Bombyx mori: one gene and its partners. The protein of the gene in region 1 binds, or shares a complex with, the protein of each later gene. Links are inferred from orthologs where the notes say so. Each region holds a gene or a part of one and is shown in the gene's direction. Other genes may lie near its edges. The genes, in order: syntaxin-7, syntaxin-18, vesicle-associated membrane protein 7-like and syntaxin 5A.

Evidence for each region.
Region 2: syntaxin-7 (region 1) and syntaxin-18 share a complex: the UniProt entries of both Homo sapiens proteins name them as parts of the SNARE complex. The link is inferred for Bombyx mori from reciprocal best matches to the Homo sapiens genes STX7 and STX18.
Region 3: syntaxin-7 (region 1) and vesicle-associated membrane protein 7-like share a complex: the UniProt entries of both Homo sapiens proteins name them as parts of the SNARE complex. The link is inferred for Bombyx mori from reciprocal best matches to the Homo sapiens genes STX7 and VAMP7.
Region 4: syntaxin-7 (region 1) and syntaxin 5A share a complex: the UniProt entries of both Homo sapiens proteins name them as parts of the SNARE complex. The link is inferred for Bombyx mori from reciprocal best matches to the Homo sapiens genes STX7 and STX5.

What each region holds. Positions count from the first base shown.
Region 1 is NC_085107.1:5,737,616-5,744,140, forward strand, and holds the start of syntaxin-7, read left to right. Parts: upstream 1-2,871; 5' UTR 2,872-3,072; intron 3,073-3,149; 5' UTR 3,150-3,154; coding exon 3,155-3,260; intron 3,261-6,525. Other genes in the region: PAN2-PAN3 deadenylation complex subunit PAN3, read right to left, coding at 602-688, 761-835. UniProt on the Homo sapiens protein: May be involved in protein trafficking from the plasma membrane to the early endosome (EE) as well as in homotypic fusion of endocytic organelles. Mediates the endocytic trafficking from early endosomes to late endosomes and lysosomes.
Region 2 is NC_085127.1:13,547,687-13,553,745, reverse strand, and holds syntaxin-18, read left to right. Parts: upstream 1-1,553; 5' UTR 1,554-1,693; coding exon 1,694-2,470; intron 2,471-3,105; coding exon 3,106-3,294; 3' UTR 3,295-3,312; downstream 3,313-6,059. Other genes in the region: cotranscriptional regulator FAM172A homolog, read left to right, coding at 3,871-3,888, 3,968-4,118, 4,415-4,709, 5,145-5,499, 5,569-5,653, 5,945-6,027. UniProt on the Homo sapiens protein: Syntaxin that may be involved in targeting and fusion of Golgi-derived retrograde transport vesicles with the ER.
Region 3 is NC_085119.1:6,313,557-6,319,937, reverse strand, and holds the start of vesicle-associated membrane protein 7-like, read left to right. Parts: upstream 1-1,916; 5' UTR 1,917-2,106; coding exon 2,107-2,310; intron 2,311-3,151; coding exon 3,152-3,335; intron 3,336-4,023; coding exon 4,024-4,082; intron 4,083-5,055; coding exon 5,056-5,271; 3' UTR 5,272-6,381. UniProt on the Homo sapiens protein: Involved in the targeting and/or fusion of transport vesicles to their target membrane during transport of proteins from the early endosome to the lysosome. Required for heterotypic fusion of late endosomes with lysosomes and homotypic lysosomal fusion.
Region 4 is NC_085118.1:10,687,571-10,694,190, reverse strand, and holds the start of syntaxin 5A, read left to right. Parts: upstream 1-2,691; 5' UTR 2,692-3,492; coding exon 3,493-3,517; intron 3,518-4,866; coding exon 4,867-5,018; intron 5,019-5,189; exon of another isoform or gene 5,190-5,401; coding exon of another isoform or gene 5,402-5,407; exon of another isoform or gene 5,408-5,441; intron 5,442-5,628; coding exon 5,629-6,055; intron 6,056-6,620. UniProt on the Homo sapiens protein: Mediates endoplasmic reticulum to Golgi transport.

The sequences.
Region 1 (6,525 bases):
TAAAAAAAAAATTAGTTGGTACCCACTATCCAGACATATGGGATAAGTCCCAAAAAAGAAAAACCCGTTTTAGGTTTTTTATTTTTCTTGTAGGCAGACAGGCCTACTGCCAATCTGATGATGAGTGGTTACCATCGTACATAATCATCAGGAATGCCCAGGGCACAGCCAAGCTGTTGTCTACCTTTTTTTATATAATGTAGTGTAGGCTTCAAGTTCATACACATCTGCACATAATATTGACGCTTGAAAATCAAATGTGACTAAGCGACAATTACTGCCTTGTACATAAATGATAGGCAATAACCATATTCGATGCGCAATAAAAATATATTTCTAGGTCTATTAAAATCATTTCAATCCTACAGTTAGATTCGTTAAAATAGAATTTTTTTCAGGTATATTTTAAATTAATTTCAACTATAAATTAGTCTTCTGTAAGATTCACGCATTGTCGCTTAGTCACATTTGCCTTTCAAGCGTCGATATGTATTTCTGACATTATGATGCAACTTAATATTCAAAATGTCAAAGATATATGTTAGGTGGAATTAATCATAAGAAATATTTATTTTCCTAAAATGTTATTTGAAAATATTACCTTCTTAACACCTGGTGGTGAGGAATCCAAAGTGAGCTTCCCTATAGCATGGTTAAGAGAGCGTGTGGGCGTCGAAGTTGAGCGACTCTAAAATTTATGACAATTAAAAAAAATCGCTTTCTTAAAATAATAATAAAAATTTAAAAAACAATGTCTTACCATGTATGTAACTAGCTTCGATTCTTGTGGAAGCCCGTTAGGCGGTGCGTATGGTAGAAATATTGATGGATCCATAATTTCAAAACTGCAGTGCGTCTGTGCAGTCTGCTGCAAAGAAGAAAAAACATAGTCAATAAATCAATAAAAGTAGCGTAGGTACCTACTTCACAGTTTTGTTCCCAACTTATGTAGGTAGTAAGCACTTTAAAATTGACCTACCTTAATTTATGATTCTTTTCGATTCACAGTTATTCATGACAATGAGAGTACCCCAACATGTCGTTATTAAGGGTTCAATTTCAACCAGACATATTTGGAAAGCTAGAATACTATATTAAATACGTGATAGAAATCAAACCCTCAAAAATCTAAAAACTACGTATTTCATTGTCTCAAAAGACGGGGCTTAAAGGCAATCTTTATTGATTCATTCACACAAAACACTGGGGCAGCAATTTTAATACAAAATTCACGGACTCTCAGAGACGGGGACACGAAGACAATAGAGACATTAAACAGGAACAGGTAAGAGATGAGTCCTAATACGTCGGTGAAGGTAGTGTGTACCAGTGTACGTACACTACAGTGAAACAGTCTTCCATAGACTAAAAAACATTACCCATGTAAAATGTAAGTCAACATTATAGAATCTAGTACAATCCGGGGTGTGTGAATTCGTTAGCATAACAATTTAATGATTTTCGACTTATTCTGATAAATTTACCCGTATTGGAATGAATCTGTTGTTTATGTGCAGTAAAAGATAAGAAACTGAAAAATACATAATAAGGTTTTTGTTAATTAAGTTGGTCTGAATCATCAATTTCTTGCATTAATTATTACAAAATATTTTAGTTTTCAAATAAAGTTTTTATGATTAAAAATACATTATCTAGGGCCGGTTTAATTAAAACATCATGCTAAGAAAAGAGTTAGTTATTTTTATATTTCACCTTGTTAGGTATTGTTAAGATTATATTTAATCTCGCCTTTTTTCTAGTTTTCTCATAATAGGTTGAAACCGTGCTACCAAGATCTAATGGTCGATTTTATAGCCGCCACTCATGATAAAAGGAGTTATAGGTTATTATTTTCATTTGAAAGTTTTCATCATTATATGTATGGTTTTATTTTTATTTTTAAAATATAGTTGATTTTAAAATTTTACTAATTAAAATATAAAAAAAATACTGTAAAACATCCATTATCCACTTTTTAGAGCATGGCATTCCAGCCTTCTAAAAGGCTTGCTTCGAACTATCTTGTGAGACGATGAGTTTAGATGGGATAAAAAATGACCCAGAAGTGGCTTAGCGGGGAAATTAATGTAATTCTAAGTCATTCACTCCATTTCATGACAAAAAGAGCATGACCCATTTACGAAGCCTTCAATAGTCTCTTACACTATATGATGTAATGGAAAAGCTTGTAAGGCCATACCAACAATGAAGCATTTTCTATCTTTAAATGCGCGATTGTATCAGAGTCTATTAACTGCTATCAGTGAGCTTTTTATTTTTTGAACTAGTCTATGGGCCAATATGTGCTGGCGACCAGCAGATTCTTAGTAAAAACGTGTCAATGTCATTCTGCAACGATTAGGGAAGATACGTGAATACGGTAGTAGTACCCTAGCCAGTTTTTTGCTGAAGATGATATATAGTGGGAAAGAGAGAGCCCTACTATCTCTATACCGATCTGATGTTACTTAAAGAGAAGGCATACATTTTGTAATAATTTTTTTTCAGTTTAAGCATTTAATAAATAATAAAATAAGTTTTCAAAAAGTTCAAGTATCCAATAGGTTCAATTAAATTGAAAACAGTAATCACGTCAGTGAGAGCTTTGGGAAAATTAAACATAATTGCATTGGGTTTTTAAAAAAATGCATTGAACTGTTTACAAATGCCCACCACGTTGTTGAGAGTTAATTAATTTAATTTTATCCAACTATTGCTCTGATGTCTTATGTCATATAATTTCAGTCCATTTAAAATTTCACATAACAGACACGCCTTCCGTCCTTTTTACAAAAAAATATCTATGGGCTCTGTTTTCTTTGCCTTTCTACAGAACAAATCAAACAAACAACAATCTGTTTTGTCAACTGTCATTTTTGATGAGTAATTTTGAGCAAGCAGTAACTGCAGTCCTATGATCAGCTCTAAACTTATCTGTAGTAAATGAGTAGCATATTCTGCGTTTGATTGTTTTCTATCATAGCTCTGTAGTGTATGGGAAGAAGAATACAAACCATTATTTTAATTAACATAAAACTATACATACTCACCATCTCTTTCAATTTATAGTGGGTAGGTACATGATTAATAACACTATATTTTCACGTTTACTTTCATTGTATATCGATTATTTATTGTTTATTTCGTAGTGAAAATGGAGGCGTCTTATCAAGGAGGTGTGTCATACGATGAGAATGGAGATAACTTTCAACGACTTTCTCAAACTATCGCCAGTAATATTAAGAAAATATCCCAAAATGGTAAGTGTTATTTTGAATGCTGAAATGTGAGATTAACGTATGTGAATCTAAGCCTAATATTAGAGAGATACAAAATTACTAGGAAAAATCAAATCAATTAGAAATTTTACTGATTAGAATCGTTCTTACTAAAGTTTTTCTAACATGTGTTTCAATATTTAATGTTTTAAGTTCTAAGTTAGACTACAAAACCCATAGATAGCACTGAGAATGCTGCCACCTTCAGGCTCCTGGAGTCTCAAGTGTTTTGAATAATGTTGGCTGTCTCACCATTCACTCTGGAACTTGAGACTACTTTGAGGCTAAAAGAGACAGGATCTTTCTATCATGCTTTTTTTCTAAAATGTTGAATTCGCTCATCGCCAAGTGATCTCCTTGCTATCATTATATGCCCCACTCTTACTTTATTATACCAATTTTATTTGAGCTGTCAATATTCATCTGAAATAATAATAATAATAAGGATTAACTTTGTACAACTGACGACCGCCAGTCTGGCGTAGGATCTTTCTATCATGCTTTTTTTCTAAAATGTTGAATTCGCTCATCGCCAAGTGATCTCCTTGCTATCATTATATGCCCCACTCTTACTTTATTATACCAATTTTATTTGAGCTGTCAATATTCATCTGTAATAATAATAATAATAAGGATTAACTTTGTACAACTGACGACCGCCAGTCTGGCGTCCCGAGGGGGAGGGTGATGGGAGAGATGTGCTCCGCACTAAACGCTTCACTTTCCCCCCTTTGCCTTGTCATGAGTTCTGTCTCATGCGAGGTTTGGACATTGGTTGTTGAGCGACAGGAGGTTTTAGTCAGTTCGACTCTGACATACCCTGCTCAGTATCCCCAGAAAATGGTGGAAGTCTGGTGATTTCCTGCTGACCAAAAAAAAAAAATGTTTTGTTTAGATTTATTGACTAAATGGTGTCTTAAAATTATTTAACTTGAATAATGCATATACAGTCAAAACCGTTTACTGCGACATCGTTTAATACGACATGCCAGTTATAATAACCAAGAACAAAGGTCCCGGCTGAATGCCATATGACCGCCTTATTAAAAATATTGCTTTCTACGACATTGCTTATAACGACATACCTCATAAAACGACCACATTTAACTAATATTTCGGAGAATTAGATCTGTTAGAACGACCGACTAAGCTGTATTGTAAACAATTTGAATAGGTATCCACATTTGTCTTCAATGGCTATTAAAATCAGGAAAGAAAACAATAGGATTTAGTTTAGTGTAGGGTCTTTTCTAATTCTTAGAAACAAAACACGTGCATGCAGTAGAGTCAAAGCCCGCTTCTTCATATCGCTTCAGTTAGTTTGTTACTTATCTATACACAAGACGCACCAAAACTTTGTGGAGTTATTCGTGAAACTTTCAAAATGTCGCAAAGAAAAAGAAAACAAATTAATATTGAAGAAAAATCGCGTATTATGTAAATATATTTTTCCAATAATTCCCTATCGATTTGTTTGTACTTTCACGATACACATTATATACATCACCGGTTGTTACGACTATCGGTTTTTACGACTTAATATGAGCAGTCCCTTCGATGTCGTTATAACAGATTTTGACTGTAGTTGCTATTTGTAAGTAAACAAATATAAATATTAAGAAAAAAGTTTTATGAAGTTAGATAAAATATATTAAAATTAGGATAATGTTTGTCCTTAAACATATGCAAAGAAAAAATCAGTCTACATCAAAAGTAAAGTATGCTTTATTGTACACCAATATCTGAACTTTTACTACATACATAATTGTTATGTATGTAGCTATATGTAATAATAAAAATAAAATAACACATGCACATGTGTACCAATCATATAAAATAAATAAAGATACAAAACGTTAAACAAAAGAACAGTGGTGAAATCACAAAGAGAGGCCTCTTGAAAATAGCCAATATGTGAGCAAGAATTTTTGAATGAAAGGAATTTACTGAGGTGTACTTATCAAATAAAAAAGAAAAACAGAATAGTATTTTAGTATTTACAAAATTCATCATTAAAAATGCATTTTGATAGTTATGTTTATACCAAAGCATTTGAAGTCTTATGTTAGAGCACAGCATATGCCAGTTTGATTTGAACAATTCTTTATGCATTTTTTTTTCTACCTATGCTGATAGCCTTGAGAGGCTATTTCAGCTTCACCCTAACGTTTGTAGGTGAGCTCGCGGGGCTCAACCGGAGAGTTGCTAACACTGACCCTAGCAAGAGCAGTGCTTCGCAGAATCTACCACCGGATCGGAAACGCGACCCACTGAGAAGATCCAGCGAGAAACTCAGTGGGCTGTGTCTATGGGTTTTTTGCATTTTGTCATTCAGTTATTTATGAAGAATCTTAAATAATTAATAACTAACATAAGTACTTTTAATAAATTTCAATATATAAAATAATAAAGCCTTTTGTTCAGACAACAGATTTACAATTATCTTTCTTATACTACTGCACTTTTATGTATTTAACACAATTAAAATTATTCACATATTTGGTGCTTCTTTACTTTCTGTAAATCCATAGGCTGTTGGCAAAGGCCTCCTCCAACCTACTTTATACTGATCTCTTTTGATCTTGTGTAATTGTTTTAAAAATTTTGCAATTGTTTTCTTATGTGGTTGGAGGATTGTGCTCCTTTTCTCCTGCAAGGACTTGTGGCTTGCAGGAAATTGTGTTATTTCTTTTGTTTGGTTTTCATAATTTGGTTGGATTATCCGTTTGGCGGCTGTTATTGGTTTTTATGTGTGAGGATATGAGTGGGAGGGTTTGATCGGATTCTCATCAAATCGAAGGCGTTTGTCCTGTGTGTTGTGGTAGCAAAGGCTTTCTCTTTTATGTAACTTCCTAAGCTACCAATATATAGATTCATTTTAAGCTCTGTATATTTAGTTTACTTCCATAAATAAATTAAGGTCTCTTTTAAAGTACTCTTTAACAGTTTGAAATAGTTCTAACATGGATTTTTCGAAATTGTTAATATGAATTATGGCAATGACTTTGGGAAATTACTCTTTTAATACTCATGTACATAATATAATATATAATATAATATAACTACTTTAGTTGTAGACGTAGTAGTAAAGAACTAGAAACAATATTACAGTGGTCTCCACAAATAAACAAAACCCATAAAAACTTGCTAGAATGTGCTATTTTGCAATGTGAAATTTAATTAACAATAAATTGGCTTTAGAATAACATTACAAATTAAATTTTATTTATATTTTAATCCTAAGAAG
Region 2 (6,059 bases), on another chromosome or scaffold:
TAGCTGATTGTCGAGAGAGACCATGTCAGCGTCACCAGGCTAGCTCACCTAAGCTCACGGGGCTCAAACCTGAAGACGTTGCTAACACGAACCCTGGCAAGAGCCGTGCTTCGCAGAATCTACCACGGGATCGAAAACGCGACCCACTGAGAAGATCCGGCGAGAAACTCAGTGGGCTGTGTCTGTGGGTTAATTTACTCGCCGAGCCCTTCGTCGCGAGCGTCGGGTTCACCAAGAATGATGACCGGTGCTTGGGTTACTTAAAAGCACCGTTAGTGGATCTTTTTTTTTTATTGCCTTTGTATATATATCTTTTAAATCTCTGTCTTCAATGGGTTGATGTTGGATGGTTAAATTTGAGGTGATTGGGTTCTGTAGGTGATGGAGGGCTATTTAAAAACACACTGCTTCATTATAATTATATTGCAGATAGTTTGAACACCATTTTAAAATTATTATCTTTATATTTTTATAAAACTTCTTACATGTTTCTTTGACCGTGTCTAGATTAGAAGTATTGACTTTTTCTTACGAGAATACAATCATCTGTTTTTTAAACGTTTAAAATAATTCTAATATTCGAAATCTGTAATCATGCGTCAAGTGCTGCCTGCCATTACATTTATATTCAAACTCCAACAGTTGAACTGAATTAAATTCAATTCACCCAACTGAACTGAGAACTGTCTAAGCATCTTCATGCTTAGACAGTTCTCTAACAGACCTAAATTTGATCGTGTCTGCTGCACCACGCTCTGAGCGAAGCTCTCATAGCTGATATGTCATACATTATAACACAAATGTGAAACCTAATAAAAAAAAGAAACAAAAAAGTTAAAAATTGTGTATTTTTTCTAAACTTTGAAACCGAGTTTTAAAAAAAAGCAAGTGTTCAAATATCAGGCATGTACCTTATCTATTCTCGCCACAGTGAGCAAAAAAGTGCCTTAACATAGAAATAAAAAAATATATTTAAAAAATCATAACTCGAAAACTATTAAAAATCGCGGAACGTACATGGGGGTGGTTCGGATAGCCCTAGTGATGTTCTACCTCTGGACTTCGGCTTGACACTATTTTTTAGGGCACCCTGTATAAGCGACAGAAGCTTTATAGAGTGGTGTAACATTTATTTCTGTCTCTCTTCCGTCTCCATTCGATCTGAAATGCTTTCGGCTACTGTAAATTTACGAGCAAAAGACTTCAGATCAGATTGTGTATAATAATTTTTTTAAGGGATTTTATGACCTGATAACTTTCTTCGGATGTACATACTGACTTTTTATTTTTTCACATAAAATTATACGACTAACTAATTAATGCTAGGCAACAACTATTCTTCTTAATAAACTTATGATGGTTAGATGGTTGGATGGCAAGAAGACCAGTTCTAACATGAAGAAACACTAAATAGACAAAATAAAACAAATCACACAACTTCACTCCACGTGTTCCCGCCAAAAAGTCCATGTAGCCATCACAGATTAAAATATTTATTACTATTAAAATATTTATTACTACTTAAAGCCATGCTTACTTTGCCTTTTCAATTGGATAATTTTAAAAAGAGAATTTGGTTAGTGTCTACTCTGTGAGGACATTATTGATTTGTCAATTCAATTTGTCAAAAACGAGTAAAACTTACGTGTTATTGAAGGAAAAAACATTTAAAACATAAACAAATCCTCTTAAAATGGATATAACACCATTATTTAAGGCTTGCATAAAAACTGTTAAAACTCGTAACAAGGCTTTCGGCATACACAGTCCGATTAGCGAAGATAAGCAACGCATATTGAGGGTGAAATCAAAAAATGCTTTCATGGCAACAGCTAAGGATATTTGTTCACAAATTACAAAGCTTAGGGACTTTTTATTGGAACACCGCGATAAATATTTAAGCTTCTTCAATAATGTTACTGGAGACGATATGTCTGATGAAGAGCGCGACCAAATAGACACCGGTGCGCAACGTATCATGAACACATGCTCACACCTGCTAAAAGAGTTCAGGAATGATAATCGAAGAACTACAGTGACCCCACAAACTAGGGAATATATGGACTCAGTCGTAGATTTAATTGATGCTTATTTAAAAGCTGTTTGTAAAGTGCATAGTGAATTGAAAGCAATGAGAGTTAAGCGAGCTTTAGATATGAGAAAATTGTCTAGACTTGAGCTACCAGCGACCAAATCTAGTATTCCTAATCCGTTTACACTAGATAAGGTAATAGAAAAAGAGAATGAGACAGAAGATGAAAAAGAAAATACAAAAACAAAATTAGACTTATCAGAGAATGAGATGGCAATTATGTCTGATGAAGGAGAGTTGACTTCAGAAGAGTTGCAAATGTTTGAGTCGGAGAATGTACAGCTGTTAAATGAACTAAACAGTATGACGGAAGAAGTTAAACAAATTGAAAGCAAAGTACTACACATTGCAGAACTTCAAGAAATATTTACTGAAAAGGTAAAAGGTTAAAATTGAATAAATACATAAGCCATTTAAAAAAAAAAACAGATTACAAGAAAAGAATATCTGCCACCAGAGAGGATGAATGTTGTTTATTATAGTCTGTGTATTATATCTTTATAAAATTGCACATACTGGTACATACATATCATAACTATCTTGATCTTAAAATATTCATATTTGGATGTTCTTTCATACGTAAACTATTGGATGTAAATAAATTTTTCAAATCCATGATACTTTAATTGATTTATTTAGATTCAAATTGATATTACTGTTTGTAAAAGTATAATTAACAGTAGCGGTTAAGAATATCTGCCACCAGAGAGGATGAATGTTGTTTATTATAGTCTGTGTATTATATCTTTATAAAATTGCACATACTGGTACATACATATCATAACTATCTTGATCTTAAAATATTCATATTTGGATGTTCTTTCATACGTAAACTATTGGATGTAAATAAATTTTTCAAATCCATGATACTTTAATTGATTTATTTAGATTCAAATTGATATTACTGTTTGTAAAAGTATAATTAACAGTAGCGGTAGGCAGGTAGCTTTTAATAATGAGATATACAAACAGTTTGTCTGACATAAAATGTAAAAAGTGTAAATATGTTTCAGGTTTTACAACAAGAACAAGACATAGATAGAATATCGAATACAGTTGTCGGGGCAACTGAAAACGTTAAGGATGCCAATGAACAGATTAAGCAAGCTATACAAAGAAACGCAGGCCTAAGAGTATATGTTCTGTTCTTCTTACTGGTCATGTCGTTCAGTTTGCTGTTCCTAGATTGGTATAATGATTAAATTTAGTAGTTACTGGTGGTTTTGTGTTTCATTTTCTAAATAATGATAATTTTACAAAAAAAAGGAACAGTTTTGATGATAATAAAATGATCTTAATTGAAATTTTGGAATCAATGATGTTAATATTTTCGCTTTAAATAAACACGTTTTATCAGAGGCTTCTTATGTTTTTTTATGTGAATACGCAAATATTTCACTATCGGTTATATAAAATATACACTATTATTGCTAGAGTTTCGATCTATACTTTAGCCAAACATTTTTTTAGTTGTTTAAAATACAACTATACATATACTAACTAACTATTATACTTATGCTACTAACTTTAACTTATATGAATCTTAGTTGATAACATGAGAAAATGCTGTTAATTAACGTTGTACCATCTATATTATTTTAAAAATACCACTATTTTATTAATTTAGTTACAAATATAACTTCGGTTTTTTACCAGTCGACTAACTTGGCTGTATGTGCTATTTTCTCTTGGACTATCTATTTAAACGTCAAAGTCCAAACTGTCAAGTTCCAACCCCGGGACCTGGGGATTGTTTATTTTTCAGTTTCAAGACCTAGATGCATATAAATTCAGCTGTAATAAAACATATATCAATGTGTTTCCCTGAGGTGATCAATACTGCAGGATGCGTACTTACCACCCTCTCTGTTGCAGTTCATGAATGTAATTCGCGCAGTACGCACGTCGATATCAAAAGTACGACTGCGACCTCACAGAAAGTCGATTGCATCTAGTGCTAATAAAGTGCATTACAAAATGGAGGGAACGAAAACTATGAAGGAACTGGGATACATATTTGATTCAAGTAACATTCTAAATTTTTTATATCATTTAATTAGTGCCTCCACTTATGAATAGGAACAATAAGAAATTTCAGAAATAACTTGAAAACAGGTACAGTTAAGTGTATGCACGAGACCCTCTTAGTGCCAACGCTTAAGGGTGGTGATAACCACTTTCCATTAGATCCATATGTTCATACCAAGGCAATTAATATATGTTGTTAGGGTATTACTTGTAGATATTAAATGCTACACTATTTTCTAGTTTCACTTTTAAATTAACAATAATATGATACTTAATGCTTTTACTACCAAACAGATGGTCAAGTAAGAAAAATTGGAGCTGATGGACAGCCAACAGATGAACCATTCCAATTTGTTGTGAGCAATGATCACCAGGAATGCCAAGCTCATTATGAAGAACTTGGCTCAGCAATCACCAATTATGTTTATGATATTCTTCAGACTCAGATTGGATTGCAAAAGTTACCAATCCCAAAGGATTCAAATGATGGAACATTTATTTTTGTTTCAAAAGATTATGATAAAAAAGATGTTCTGTTAATATTGATTCACGGATCAGGCGTTGTGCGAGCTGGTCAGTGGGCTAGATCGTTAGTATCATGACTTAATTACTAAATTTTGGTTTCAAGTATGTTTAAAATTAAAAATAAATAATATTGATGATGAGATAAAATTCAAAATGCAAATGTTATTTTGAATTTAGACAAGCAAAGCCATTTTTGAGTAGTACTTTAATAACTTTGGATATATAACATGAAACTTCTTCTTAGTACTGAATCATAAAATTAATATAGAAATATGTATATAATGGTGGCTCAATTCCTGATTCTGTTCATTATCCTTGGTTGGTACAATGATGGTATTACCCTTCTGTTCTTCTTTCACAATGGCAATACTCTATTCATCTATGTATTAATATGTACGTAATCAATGCATATTTTTTGTTTTCCCCATGTCTTGTTTTAAAGTAGGTCACGTAATTAGGCCTGCAGTATATTTGTTCTGAAATGTAATTTTTGTCACAGCCTCATAATCAATGAATCGTTGGACAAAGGATCTCAGATTCCGTATATCAAGAAGGCTTTGGCCAAAGACTATGGAGTAGTGGTACTAAATACAAATGACAATCACACAGCAGATGGAAAGACCATTCTCAACAGTAGCACCGCTGAGGAACATGCCCTTTACGCATGGCTGAACTACATATCCAATGCGAATGCAAGTTCCATACTCATTGTAGCACATAGTTATGGTGGGGTTGTCACGGTTTCTCTGGCAGAAGAGGTGCAAAATGACTTTGAAGACAGAGTAAAGGCCATTGCTTTTACTGACTCTGTACATTCCTATTCTAATAAGAAGCTTACAAACTTTTTGAAACAGGTAAGAATGTAACTGGAGGCATGCACAGTTGAAATTTAACTTTTCCTAATTGGTTTCTCGATATTACAGGTTACAAAGAATTGGATATCTAGTCAGACACCGCTGGATACACCTCTCAGAACTCCTGATTTCGATATAACCAGACTTTCAGCAGGTATAAATATTGCATTCATAAAATCAAATTATTTGTGTTTTTAAGGGGAATAGACTATGGCTATTCTTTCTTCTATGAACTTATTTTCTAGATTATAATTACATACTTATCCAAATCTTTGCACTGCCTTTGTCCATGAGTAACACTGAGCATTAATCACTGGTTCAGCTAAAAGCTTACTATTAAGTGCTGCAATAGTAACATTGAAGCAACCATTGGTAAAGGTTGACTTAAACCACTGAAACTCTGCATTTGTGTTGTGTCAAATATATAAGAAAACTTTGTTTGCAGGTCATGAGAAACATGAAATGACATCATACATGTGTATGGATTCTGTTTTTAAATACTTTGATGAAATACTAAATATGGATTAAAACGAATATTCACGTGGTACTACTCTGTTATA
Region 3 (6,381 bases), on another chromosome or scaffold:
AAAGTGATGATAAGTAAATCGGCAAAAAATAGTTTGTGGTAGTATATGTTAGATTGCAAACGTATTCAATCTATGTCTCAAGACGGAAGGCGTTTACCTTGTAGAGGATACGGTATGCGATAAATGTTTGAGACAAAATACGCAGCGAGCGAATCTGTAGAAAAAGAAATGTAGGTATTGTTATAATATACCTATACTGTGACAATGGTAGTTTAAACAATTTTTTTTTCAAACCACTCCATTCCTTCCGATTATCGTCCTATTAGAATTAATACCAAAATTACTCGTTGCAATTCATGGTTTTTATTACACTTTACTGCCGGACGAGTTGTTTTGTTAAACGGCCGTCTCATTCTTCAAACACGAACGGTTTACTTCACGGTGAAACTGGGCAGGACGGTGATAAATTTCCGTCCTGGCTCAAAATTCGGAGTGTATGAGTACGTAGGCAAATAATATTCAATTATCTCAAAGAAGCAAGTTGAGCACATGCGTGGCACGCTTGTCTGCACATGTCTCTTAAAACTGATCAATTTATGTACGGTGACAGTTTTAGCGAGCACGAAACGATTTTAGCTTCGGCCGACACGGAAATTTATTTTAGAACGATCGTGTGATATTTGTGCGATACTGAATTTTTCAATGCAGGGTTGTCAAACGTTCGATTTTCTCGTTTTTTTTTTTCTGTAACCCACAAGCATCAAGTAGGTATGTAAAAATATCGGTAACAATCCATATCCTTATGGTAAAAAGGAGGTGTTTGTTTGTTCTTGAAGATGAAAAACAAAAGTGATACTGGTGATTCATAATAACATGATTATTTTGATTTTTTTTCAGTTGTTTTTGGTATACGAATGTCACGAAAGAATGTTATAAATTAAAAAATCCGCCAATGTAGATAAGCTTAGCTTAATAAATTATTAATGTGTGTTTTATTGTTCGCGTTGTTGTAGTATATGTTGCTTCGAGGAAGATTTCATTCCATTATTTTTAATAAAGGAAACATTTTTCCTTCATAAGTAGATTTAGTATCGCGTCCCCTAATTCTATCAACATCTGGCAGCAGCATACTAAATGTTGGCCACAGTTATTGTCTTATTGGCATAGAATATACTACACTTAACCGACTTACTGTAAGCAAGTGATTTTATTAATACTAGAGGTCCCGCAGTAGTCGAAATTCGACTATAATTAATTGGAATTGTAAGTTTGTACACTATTATTATTGTATTTTATACTTCTATAGTCACAAATTTCGCCAAGACTACACTATAAAAAATATTAACAAAGACTAACAATATTTAATCTATTCTCAATCTGACAACAGAGGTCAAGAACAAAAGTTGGACAATAAATAGTATGCATGCGTGTGTGCGTCAAATACATGGTATGTAGTGTGTGTAATGTTTTCTTTATTGATTTAATGTATCTTTTATGCATTATTTTAAAAAAATATTAGCATTGTGCACTTCTTCTCTATATTCTCTATAAGTGTGGAAAATTTCATACTCCTCCGTCCGCGCAATTTTCGTAAAAAGGGATACAAAGTTTTTGCTTCACGTATTAATATATAGATATCGCGGACTCTTGTCATAGCAACAAGACCAAATTTTCAGTTTTTAAGATAATTCCTCTTATATTTTTAGACACAAACAAATACAAGTCTTGTATTACTGGGTTTTTTCTTTAAACAAAACCAATGAATATTTTGTTGAATTAAATTTGAAGAATAATGCATGCACAGATTAAACAAATCTGTTTTATAATGAACATTTTTGCGCACACGTCGGTCCATTTGGTAACAAAAGGTTACCAGAGTCTTGATATCGCATCGGTTAAACAAAATACAGAGAACACTGGCTAATGTGACTAGATCTGTTTTATTTCCGTCAAAAAACGAATGACATCCTTAACGCATTGCGTTTGGACATTCAAAATCTTTAAACCGTGGGCGGATCGAGAGGACGCCACATCGTATAGTTGCGGTTTGTACTCTTGTAATGCAGCAGTTAAACAATATTCTTCAAAAAAATTATTGAAACTGATAATAATAGTGAAAGCGTCAAATGGTGTGAACAGTGATAATAATTTGTAGTCATATTTATAATGCCTATATTATTCAGTGTGATAGCGTGTGATAAACGAGTCGTTTCGAAATTCGCAACCTGCGATGGTAACTTCGTGGAGATATCCGAACGAATGGTCTCAAAAATACCGGTACATGATCACAAGATGACGTACCTTCACGGAAAATATTTGATTCACTATGTTGTTCACAAGAAAAATATATTTCTTTGTATTACAGAAAAGGTAAGTTACGATTTCGTTTGAAAAGGACTTCTTACAAGTTAAAAAACATACATGAAAAAATAGAATATAAATATTGTTCTGAAAGTTCATTGATAATGTCGTCCAATACATTCGAATTGCTCAAAACACGTCATTACGGATCCTCCCGATCCATTAACGGTGCTTTTAGGTACCTCAAGCACCGGTCACCGTCCTCGCCGAACCCGTCGCTTGCGACGAAGGGCTCGACGAGTAAATTAACCCACAGACACAGCCCACTGAGTTTCTCGCCGGATCTTCTCAGTGGGTCGCGTTTCCGATCCGGTGGTAGATTCTGCGAAGCACTGCTCTTGCTAGGGCCAGTGTTAGCAACACTTCCGGTTGAGCCCCGTGAGCTCACTTACTGAATCTAGAATAGCCCCTCGAGGTTACTAGAATAGGTAGAAAAAAAAACGAATAGTATAAAACGAAAATATCTCATTTTTATTGTGGCCGGTGTTTAAAACTTGTTTTTTTTTTATTTCGTTCTCGTCAATAAATTTCTTAAAGATATTAGTTATTCGATCTGGTGCACTTATTGTTGTCCCATATATCTTCTGAACACATAGCACAGAGAAAATTTGGACGAACGATTGCCACTTATTAAATAGGTTGAATATTGAAACTAAACATATACGTCAGTTGAAAATTGAAGAAACTTTATTTACATATTTCTGTATGTGCAAGATTGTGTAAAGATTTTCTGTTAAATATGAGAGAAGCACACGTCGTTATTCGCATAAAGTTCCCTTATGTTAGCTTAAGTCAGAATTATGTAAATATTTTTTCTATAGTCTTCAAATCAAATGTATTTTCTTAACAGAGCTGTCAGAGATCAAGGGCATTTTTATTCTTAAATCAAATCCAGAGACGATTTGCTGAATACGTAAAAAATTTCGAACATATACTGGCAGAGGAAATGTACCGATACAATGAAGATTACAGTACTATAGTTATAAGAAATGGCGAACTGGATGAATTGAACAGGATCAGCGTTGAAAGGAGTGGTAAGTTTTTTTAAACATTTTTTATTAAACAGCTTTGTAAATATGTAGGATGGTTAAGAACGGAACCTATGGAAAGAGCGTGGAACGGAGTGTTAAGGTGTGAGTGAGAGAAATTTGTGAGAAATAGAGAGAAATAATAATAAAAAAAGCAAGACCGCGAGGACGATGAAGTGAGCGATGTGTAAAAAATGTGTCAATAAATTTTTAGTTATTTATTAAATAGTTTGGTAAATATGTAGGATGGTTGAGAACGGAACGTATGGAAAGAGCGTGGAACGGAGTGTTAAGGTGTGAGTGAGAGAAATTTGTAAGAAAGAGAGAAATAATAATAAAACAAAATGGCAACATGGCGAGGTCGATGAAAGCAGCAATATCTAAAAAATGTGTCTATATTTTTTTTATAATAACAATTAAATTCCAATTATACGTATGTATGTTTGTATGTCTTCTTTATAATGTGATTTGCATCGATTTTAAGACGTACCGACCACTAATCAGAAAGTTTGTACACGAATGAAGGACCGTTAGCTAAACAATAATTTTAATTGCTCTAATCGCTCTGAAATCCTGACCGGTATTCAAAAAAGGTACAAAATAAAGATAAAATTATTTGTTGGTACGGTTTGTAATTGAACGTACGGGTTCTTAAACTACATTTAATTTTAAATTAGTTTTTTTTTCTTTTCAGAAACAATTCTCGGCGAGAAAATGCTTTTAGTTGATAGCATCGATAGTTTATCGTACAGTGTAAGTTTACATAAGACATTAAGCCTACAAAATATAGTCATTAGCTATTTCTCTCATAAGCATGAATAACGTAAATGCCATTGTCTCGAGACATGATTTCTAACTCTGTTCTACAGTATAACAAGGACCACCCTTCAAACGGGGATCCTTACTGCTCCGCGGGAGAAATACGGGGTTGCCTTTAATTTTGATTTTATTTAGTTTCGCTCGTTATAAATGTCTCTGCCGGATGTATGAATGCGGCGGAAAAAAAGACTATCAGTTTCAACATTTTAAATGGAAAAAAATTCACAGAATACCTATTAAATAGTATGTATGAGTCGACTATTATCAAAGCCGGCAATGTGACTTTTGGACAATTATTGGTAAATCAGAAAAACGAATTATTGACTTTGTATTCCATTGGCAGTCACAAAACTCTTCTGCACGACATCTTAGATAAATAACAGGTTAAGTATTAACCTTTATTTAAGCAGGTTTTGAACCGTATTCTTTGAAGGAGACGATTATATTCAAATCAATCTGTATTGACATATCAATAACATTTTTTTGTCCAAATGCACAGATTGCCACCTTTGATAATAGATGACTCGTATAAACAAAATCTATTACCAAATCAAGTTTTTTATTTTTTTATTGCTTAGATGGGTGGACGAGCTCATAGCCCACCTGGTGTTAAGTGGTTACTAGAGCCTATAGACATCTACAACGTAAATGCGCCACCCACCTTGAGATTTAAGTTCTAAGGTCTCAGTATAGTTACAACGGCTGCCCCACCCTTCATACCGAAACGCATTACTGCTTCACGGCAGAAATAGGCAGTGTGGTGGTATCTACTCGTACGGACTCTCAAGAGGTCATACCATCAGTAAAGTGAATCGATCAACTATGGCATGCGAGTTTATTTAAGCGACAGCACACAAGTTTATAGTAATATTGTATTATATAAATAACACATACTATTTTGTTACAGACGATTTCGTACGTGGGTAGAGCTCCAGAACAAATATCTATATCTGTACAAGATAAACAACGTTTCAATTTTATTTTCATAGGAATATTTATGATTATTGTGGGATCTTCTGTTTACGTTTTCGGGCCGATATCTTGTGTCACGGCCACAGTAATTATAGTATTTACATTCATTAGATCACTATACGTATCCAAAAATAAAACTCATTCGAATTAAGGAGAAATTGACGACATTAAGATAATTTACTTTCGCGGTCTCATTGAGTTGTTTTCGTTCCGAAACGTATGCTTGAATTTATTTAGTAAAATTAAATAAATAATCTTCTATATAACATTCAGTTATGAACTTCGTATGTAATTTCGTTTTGATTCCTTTTTACAAATAGATATTTACGTCAATAAGCGGCAGGGTGTATTTTTAAAGTTGTTTTTGTAAATAAAATATGTCATATGTTTTGTGTCATGTTTCATAATTTCATATTCTGTAACGGTTACACGTTATACATATATATTTATTGTATGGATGTATTTTCTTTAATAATGTGTTGTTAATAGTACACCGCAATATATCTGCTGTGCAGAATTTCGGGTAATTAAACGGTTGTCTGGAGGAGATTGCTTTTAGCGATAAGACCGCCTATTGTACCAACTCATCTGCTTCTTGACTGTTTTCTGATGTAAAATTGTGTTTTGGTGTGCAATAAAGTATGTTCTCTCTCTCTCTCTCTCCCTCTAACGTTTTTATTTTATTAATTGTCTTTGTTGGTTAGACGAGCATACCGCCCACCTGATGGTGAGTGGATACTGTCACTCATGGACGTCAGCGATGCCAGAGATACAGCCAAAGCGCTGACTACCATTCAGTACTCTGCGCAAACTTCGTTTGAAGAAAGTCATATCGTAGCGCTCAGGAAAGAGATAGATGATACGTGGCAGAAAAAATGGAAACGCTGGAAACTCACTATGGACGAATGCACAAATTCATCGCAATTAAATGTATCGTTGAGGCGAAATTTTAAATAAAAAAATTGTATTTAGATTTCGATACACATAACATTTTTTCCTCATTTGATTATAATATAATTATGTAGAATAGGGATCGCAGCGCATAAAATAAAATTTCCACTGTTCCAAAATCTTCTGTTATAACAATAATTAATACTTTTATTAAGTCTTGCTCATTTTTAAACCGTCTTCGCCATCTTCCAATTCTCTGTAATTCTGTCTGTCATTCTCTTCTCCCTTTCTTTCCGTTTTCTCTCTTCACATCTTAACGCTCCGTTCCACACTCTTTTCATACGTTCCGTTCTTACCAATCCTACAATTA
Region 4 (6,620 bases), on another chromosome or scaffold:
CGCAGCGCACCTCAAGGAAGGTGCGCCGCACCATTTGAATCACTTTCACGTGAGAGTGATTCAAATTTTAAACTTATCGTAGGACCGCGTGAAAAAAAAAACACCTATAGTCGGATTTTTAATTAGACGAAGCCAGCTGACAGTAGCTAATGTCACTTTGTGAAATAATGTTGCTATATTTAAAGTAATAGTGATGCGTTTAGTTCTCGTTCAATCACATGAATGAACAATGAGTGTGAAGAATTAATCATTAATTTCAAACTATAAAAGAATATTATTTATATTTTACAATAAAATTGTATTAAAGTGCTCCAATATATGTTACTAGTAGTATGTAACTACAATCAGTATTTTGGAGTTTACTCCTTAAGAATCGATTTACATATATAGGCCCGGGGTATGAAAATTATGGGGACCAAAATCGTACTAGAGAGTATAGCATGTCACACGAAATGCGTTATGCGCCTGATTGGCTCCTGATTGGCCAATCAGGAGCCAACGCGCGGCCGCGTTATCGCAGGTGACGCCGGGCTGCTGCGCCGGCAGTCCGCCACAAAGCCTCGTACTGATCGCGCGTTTCTCTCATTATTGTATTTTCATATATTTGTTAGTCGTTTGTTTTGTGTCTCGTTAATTTGTTAATAATCTGTAGTGTATCGTGTTGTCGTAATATAGAACTATTTCTCGTATTGTTTCGTTTAATTTACCGACATCGTTTTGCTTGTGGCCGGACGCCGTTCGGGTTCGATTCCTGAACGTATCAACTGTTAGTGGGTTGATACCCGAATATAACCCGCTACAAATCATTTATTAATAAAGCTTATTAAATATAAACAATTCCTTCTATCAGTGAATGGACAACTTATATATTAATTGTAAAAGTGAATTATATAGACTTACTTAATTACCGCATCCACGTGTTCCGCAACTCCCGGATCATTCTCACTAGAATACGTAACTTCCATATTTTACTGTATTCAACTGACACAAATTTATATTTATATCCAGTAAACTCCAGTCGTGCGTCGGAGCGGACACACACACTTTTTTTTATTTTCGTTACATACCTATAATTGTTATATTTTATACATCTATAATTTCAACTATCTGATGTATTGGAAATAGGACAGTTTTACAAGCTTCCTCGCAATGTTTTTCATAATGTTTAAAACACTCGGTATTCAGTACAGGTAGATACTATAGGAACATAATATTTCGTCGAAAACTCGTTGGTATGTACAAAGCACGCATAAAATACGAACCCCGTACCCGATATCGGCAATTCGGCACACCTACTATTCATTAGACAATCGAGGCAATTTCATTAATTCAGGAGTTTTTTCAATCGTTCACTTTGTCACAACACTATTTTTATTTCATCAAAACCTGACAACACAGTAAACGTCAGTTTACTTCGTCTAATAAAAAATCCCACTATACAGAACATTTATTCATTAATTACAAACGTCATTCCTTGTGACTTCCTCTCTAAAATCACTTAATTATTAAATATTTACCGAATTTACAATAGTGTTTTATTCACTGCGGCATAAAACTATTTTATTTAAATAGTTCCGAAGAGATTTTGTCGGTAGCCTTTTTCCCGAAATATCTAAACAGAATGTCAATAATATGTTTTGATGACATATTTTAAAGAGGTATTTATAATTAGTGTCATGATCAATAGATTCCGACCGAAAAATGATTTTTCGGATGAGGGCTCCGTAATGAATTTAAATATATATAGATAATAGTTTTGGGGCATCGACTTTCTTGAGATCCTATAAAATACGTTTTAATTATTATTTTTGTATGTTTTAAGCATGATAAAATATGAAATTTTATATAAGCAATCATATTAAATCGCAACCCAAAACAGACGGCCGAACTGACGTGACAATGACATTTGGAGCGCTCAACATGGCGGATTTTCGGCCTCATTAGACATTTACGTATATTCATGTTTCATTTTATGTACGCACTGAAATACTGTTATATTATTTTCCTGCGAGTTAAAGTGCTGAGTAAGAACGAGATAGATATATGTTTATGTGTGTGCCTTCAAAATGGGTGCTATTTATATAAGCAATTGTACGTATAGTACAATATGTCGTGTCCCTACTATATAGGTCTATGATAATCTATGATAAAAGTGAACTATAAATGACAGCCCCAAACTAATGAACATTTTCCAAATAAGATATGACCTAAAGGTCTCTGTCACCACGTCATAAAATTAAAAAAAAAAACAAAAATGACAGCGACTTTTTGGCGGGAACGGAGGAGTGAAGTTGTGTGATTTGTTTTATTTTGTCTATTTGGTGTTTCTTCAGGTTTAAATGTGTAATAATGGTGGTTTATTAACTGTTTAGTATCTGTGAAAGTGCACAAATGTGGGAAAATGAAACAAAGCCGCCGGACGTCACTTCTCGGGATCCTCCAAAAAGTCCAACGAAAAAGTCTCAGTAAATGACCACCAATTTACTGAGATTATATTTCATCCCATATCATCTCATTTCATTTCATTTGATTTCATCCCAGTTGATTAATGTCTCAAATTAATCATCTTCATTTCATTTCATAATTTTTCATAAAAATAAGAGTATAAATTAAAATAAGACATGACTTAAAAGTCTTAGCTACCAGGTCATAAAATACCTAAAAAAAGAGAAAAAAAAATGACAGCGACTTTTTGGGGGGAACGTGAGGAGTGAAGTTGTGTGATTTGTTTTATTTTGTCTATTTAGTGTTTCTTCAGGTTTAAATGTGTAATAACGGTGGTTTATTAACTGTTTAATATCTGTGAAAGTGCACAAATGTGGTAAAATGAAACAAAGCCGCTGGACGTAACTTATCGGGATCCTCCAAAAAGTCCACTAAAAAAATTTCAGTAAATAACCACCATTTTACTGAGATTATATTTCATCCCATATCATCTCATCATGAATACTTGTATATTCAATTGTCCTTCGACATGTCCACCACCATTGTCAATACATTGACGGGCAAGTTTCATTAACTCGTTTTTAACGAGAGAAGTGCGCTTCTATGTCTTTTCACTTCGTCAAAAGCGTCCAATATGCGCTGTTTTAATTGTGCGAGCCTAACCGGCTCGCTTCTGTACACACATCTCTTAATTTCACTCCACAAAAGAAGTCCATGGGCGTGAGGTCAGGTGAGCGTGGAGGCCAAGCTACAGGCCCAATGCAGAAAATAATACATTTGCTTCGGTATTGTTCAGTATCCTGATGCAAAATGAAATCCTCGCTACATAATCAACGGTGGTTAATTCCTGAGATTTCCTGTAGTGATATGGATATAATCCGGCCTTATTAACAATCTTCCAGGCACAGGACTGGCTGTTGTTAAACCGTCGAGCAGTGTCATTTGTACTCCGTCGGGGATCCTCTTCAAAATACGCTAGTACATCGTCGTACAGATTTTGTCACAACGCCAGTCTTCCTCGTTCTTGACTATGTGACGGTGCGTGGAATGAACCGTGATCAAGCAAATGCTGGTAAGCATTTACCACGGTTCGCACATTTGGCTGTCGGGCGTTCGGGTACTCTTCCCTGTACATACGTACAGCTGCACTCGCGTTCGGGTATTCTTCCCTGTACATACGTACAGCTGCACTCGCATTTTCTCCACTCAAAAAGTACCCACGAAGCATAGCTACATACTCCCGTGATGTGAACTGATAAGCCATCGCATCAGGGAAAACTTAAACAAACAACTGTTGCAACGAAAAAAAGCATGCGCACACTTCCGCTAACAATTTAGTAGTGTTTAGGTTTTTGTCGTTATTGTTGAGTTGAGTTGACTTGAGTTTCCTGGAATTTATCAATGGAGCAGCGCCCCGTAGATACTAAAACCCTGCCGCACGTACTTTCGGTCATTGATTTAGTTATTTAGCATTTACCAATTATTACGTATTTTTATGGACAGTTCTGAGACTTCGTGTTTTTTTTATTTTTAACTACCATATAATATGATTAGTTAAAGATACTTAGAGCCCAGTTAATTTTTTTGTACTAATTTAAAAATAGTGGTGTATAGTTATAGGACCACGCGCCTGTTATGACAACAAATTTACTGAACATATAATTACGGTAACATTAAGGTTATTATGAGAATTAAATAACTCGCTTTTGGCCCCAAATTTAAAAACGACCCATTGATCATCACACGATATAATCTTTTGATACACACACACATGTTCGTTGGTGTCACTTCTTCGTCATTTAATTTAAATAGTTGGAAGTGAAGAGATCGACCTTCTCTATAGAAACATAAACACATTGTCATTAGTCTGCCAAAAATTGCTAAGACAAACAACTAGGTATACCCACATCAATTCTAACGAAGTGGTACAACAGTTAAATTAATATGCTTTTTGAGATTACATTGAAATGGCTGTTCCAGATGTTTGTATTGTGAAAATTTTGTTGAATATGTTTCAAATGACAGATGAAATTATTATTTTATTTCTATAGAATTTTTACGGCAACAATTTGTTGGCATGAAGAGAAACTAAAATCCATAAAAAGATGAAAATGAAACAGGACTGTAACCCAAAGAGTAAAAAAAGTAGATCTGAGATAAAAAAAAAATTAATTGTATTAATGCCGGCCACTGACATGCGCGCAAATATTCGTACATTGTACGAATGTTTGCGCGCATGTAAAGGGCCGTCAAACATTCATTCGCAAACCTAGCGGCTGTGCAAATGGGTTCGCATACTCAATTTGCGAACCCGTTTGCGCTTCCTCCTACACTTGTTTACGAATGTCTCACGAATTTCTCCTCCTTTTTAATTCGTCAATAGAACATTGAAAAGAAAAAGATTTTTGAATTCTTTCCCAGACATGATTAACAGCCATGCTGTTTTTATGGGATTTCTTTTGATGAAGATACGCTACACAGTAGACGTCACGAACTATGAAAACGGCGTTACCTTCGCAATCGTCGGCGCAACTGGGCAAGCGAATGTGTGGGAGACTACGCGAAGGTTCGAGGTTCGCGCGCTTTGATGTCTGTTAAAAAACCGACACAGCTTGGAAAACCACGAATGCAGCGAAAACTTTGCATAATCATTCGCAAATGTCGTCCTACACTTGCGGGTTTGCGTATTCGTGCGCATGTGAGTGACAGAGTGAGTAATGGACAAACTAAGCCAGAATAGTCTATGACTACCCCTACGTGTTAAGTGTATTATCTATGACTACGTGTCTGGAATCTATCGAGTGATTAAAAATAAAGGATTGTGGGTAGGTACCTACATACCTTATCTAAAAAATGGAATAGTGGGACTTGATAATTTAAAAGATAGATATATCATCGAGTTTTGAAAAGAATCGATGAGATGAAATGATAAATATTGTACACACATGAATGTACTATGAAAGTACGTAATTATTTGAACGCTATTGGTTTTCTAAGTAAGTATTGGAATGTAAAATTGTGAAATACTGCCTCAATTATGTAAATTGTAAGTTTTCATTTTCAAACAAAATATCCCCAATCATTAACAAGTAAAGCATATGTGTGGTGTAACAGTACTGTTTGACTTAATGTAATTTACTTATCAAACAAAGTTGACAACGTTTTTTCTGTAAAACTTTATAGGTGAAGACTGAAGACTACAATGCGATGCTTCCTCGAAGGCGAAATATAGGCGTTACAGAAAGACTCTTGGAAACAGAAACGGATTCATACAATAAATTAGATAAGAAAGGTGTTCATTACGGGGAATCGCGGCCTTACGAGAACTCATCAAATTCCAAATCAACATTGATTCTTAAATCATCTGACCAGGACGTGTTTAAATTTTTAGAAGAATTTGTTTTTGAACCAGTTATGGCTTCAAGAGATAGAACAAGTGAATTCATTTCAACTGTACGCAGTCTCCAAGGACGTTTCTTAAACAAACCAACCGTAAGAGATGATAGAAAAGCTGCTGTGTTGGAAACTTACTCCCAATTCATGAGTATGGCAAAAGTAATTAGTAAGAATATTACTAGTACATATACCAAATTGGAAAAGTTAGCCTTGTGTAAGTATTTTAAATGATTCAGGCATAAGTCCAATATGAAGTGTTATATTCTTTTCATTTATTGCTTTTATAAAATGTTAAATAAACATTTTTTTTTAATAAGATGTAAAAGAAACGCTACATTTGCTATAAACTAGGTACAAAGAAATTGTTCTCTAAAATGAAGTTAGGTCATAGAGGTAATGATACCAATACAAACAAAAATTGCCCTACAAGATTTATATTTTATGTATGTTACTGTATATCAAATCATGAAATTCAAAATTAATATTGTGAAAAAAAATAACAAAATAACTTCTTCAGCTACCTAAATGAATGAAGTAAAATTAATTGAAGTTCAACCAATCATGTGAAATTCAAGTGAAAACATCGAACTGTTGATGGTAATATCAAATAAAAACGTTAATTACTGAGATAAATGTAGTGTATTGAGCGAAACGTCTTTTAAACCAAACAGCCTTTCACTCCTCAATATATATAAAATATAAAAAATGAATATATCAAGAATATGATAACAGTCATTTACCACTAAGTTAATCTTAGTTTACAATTTATGACAAATTAA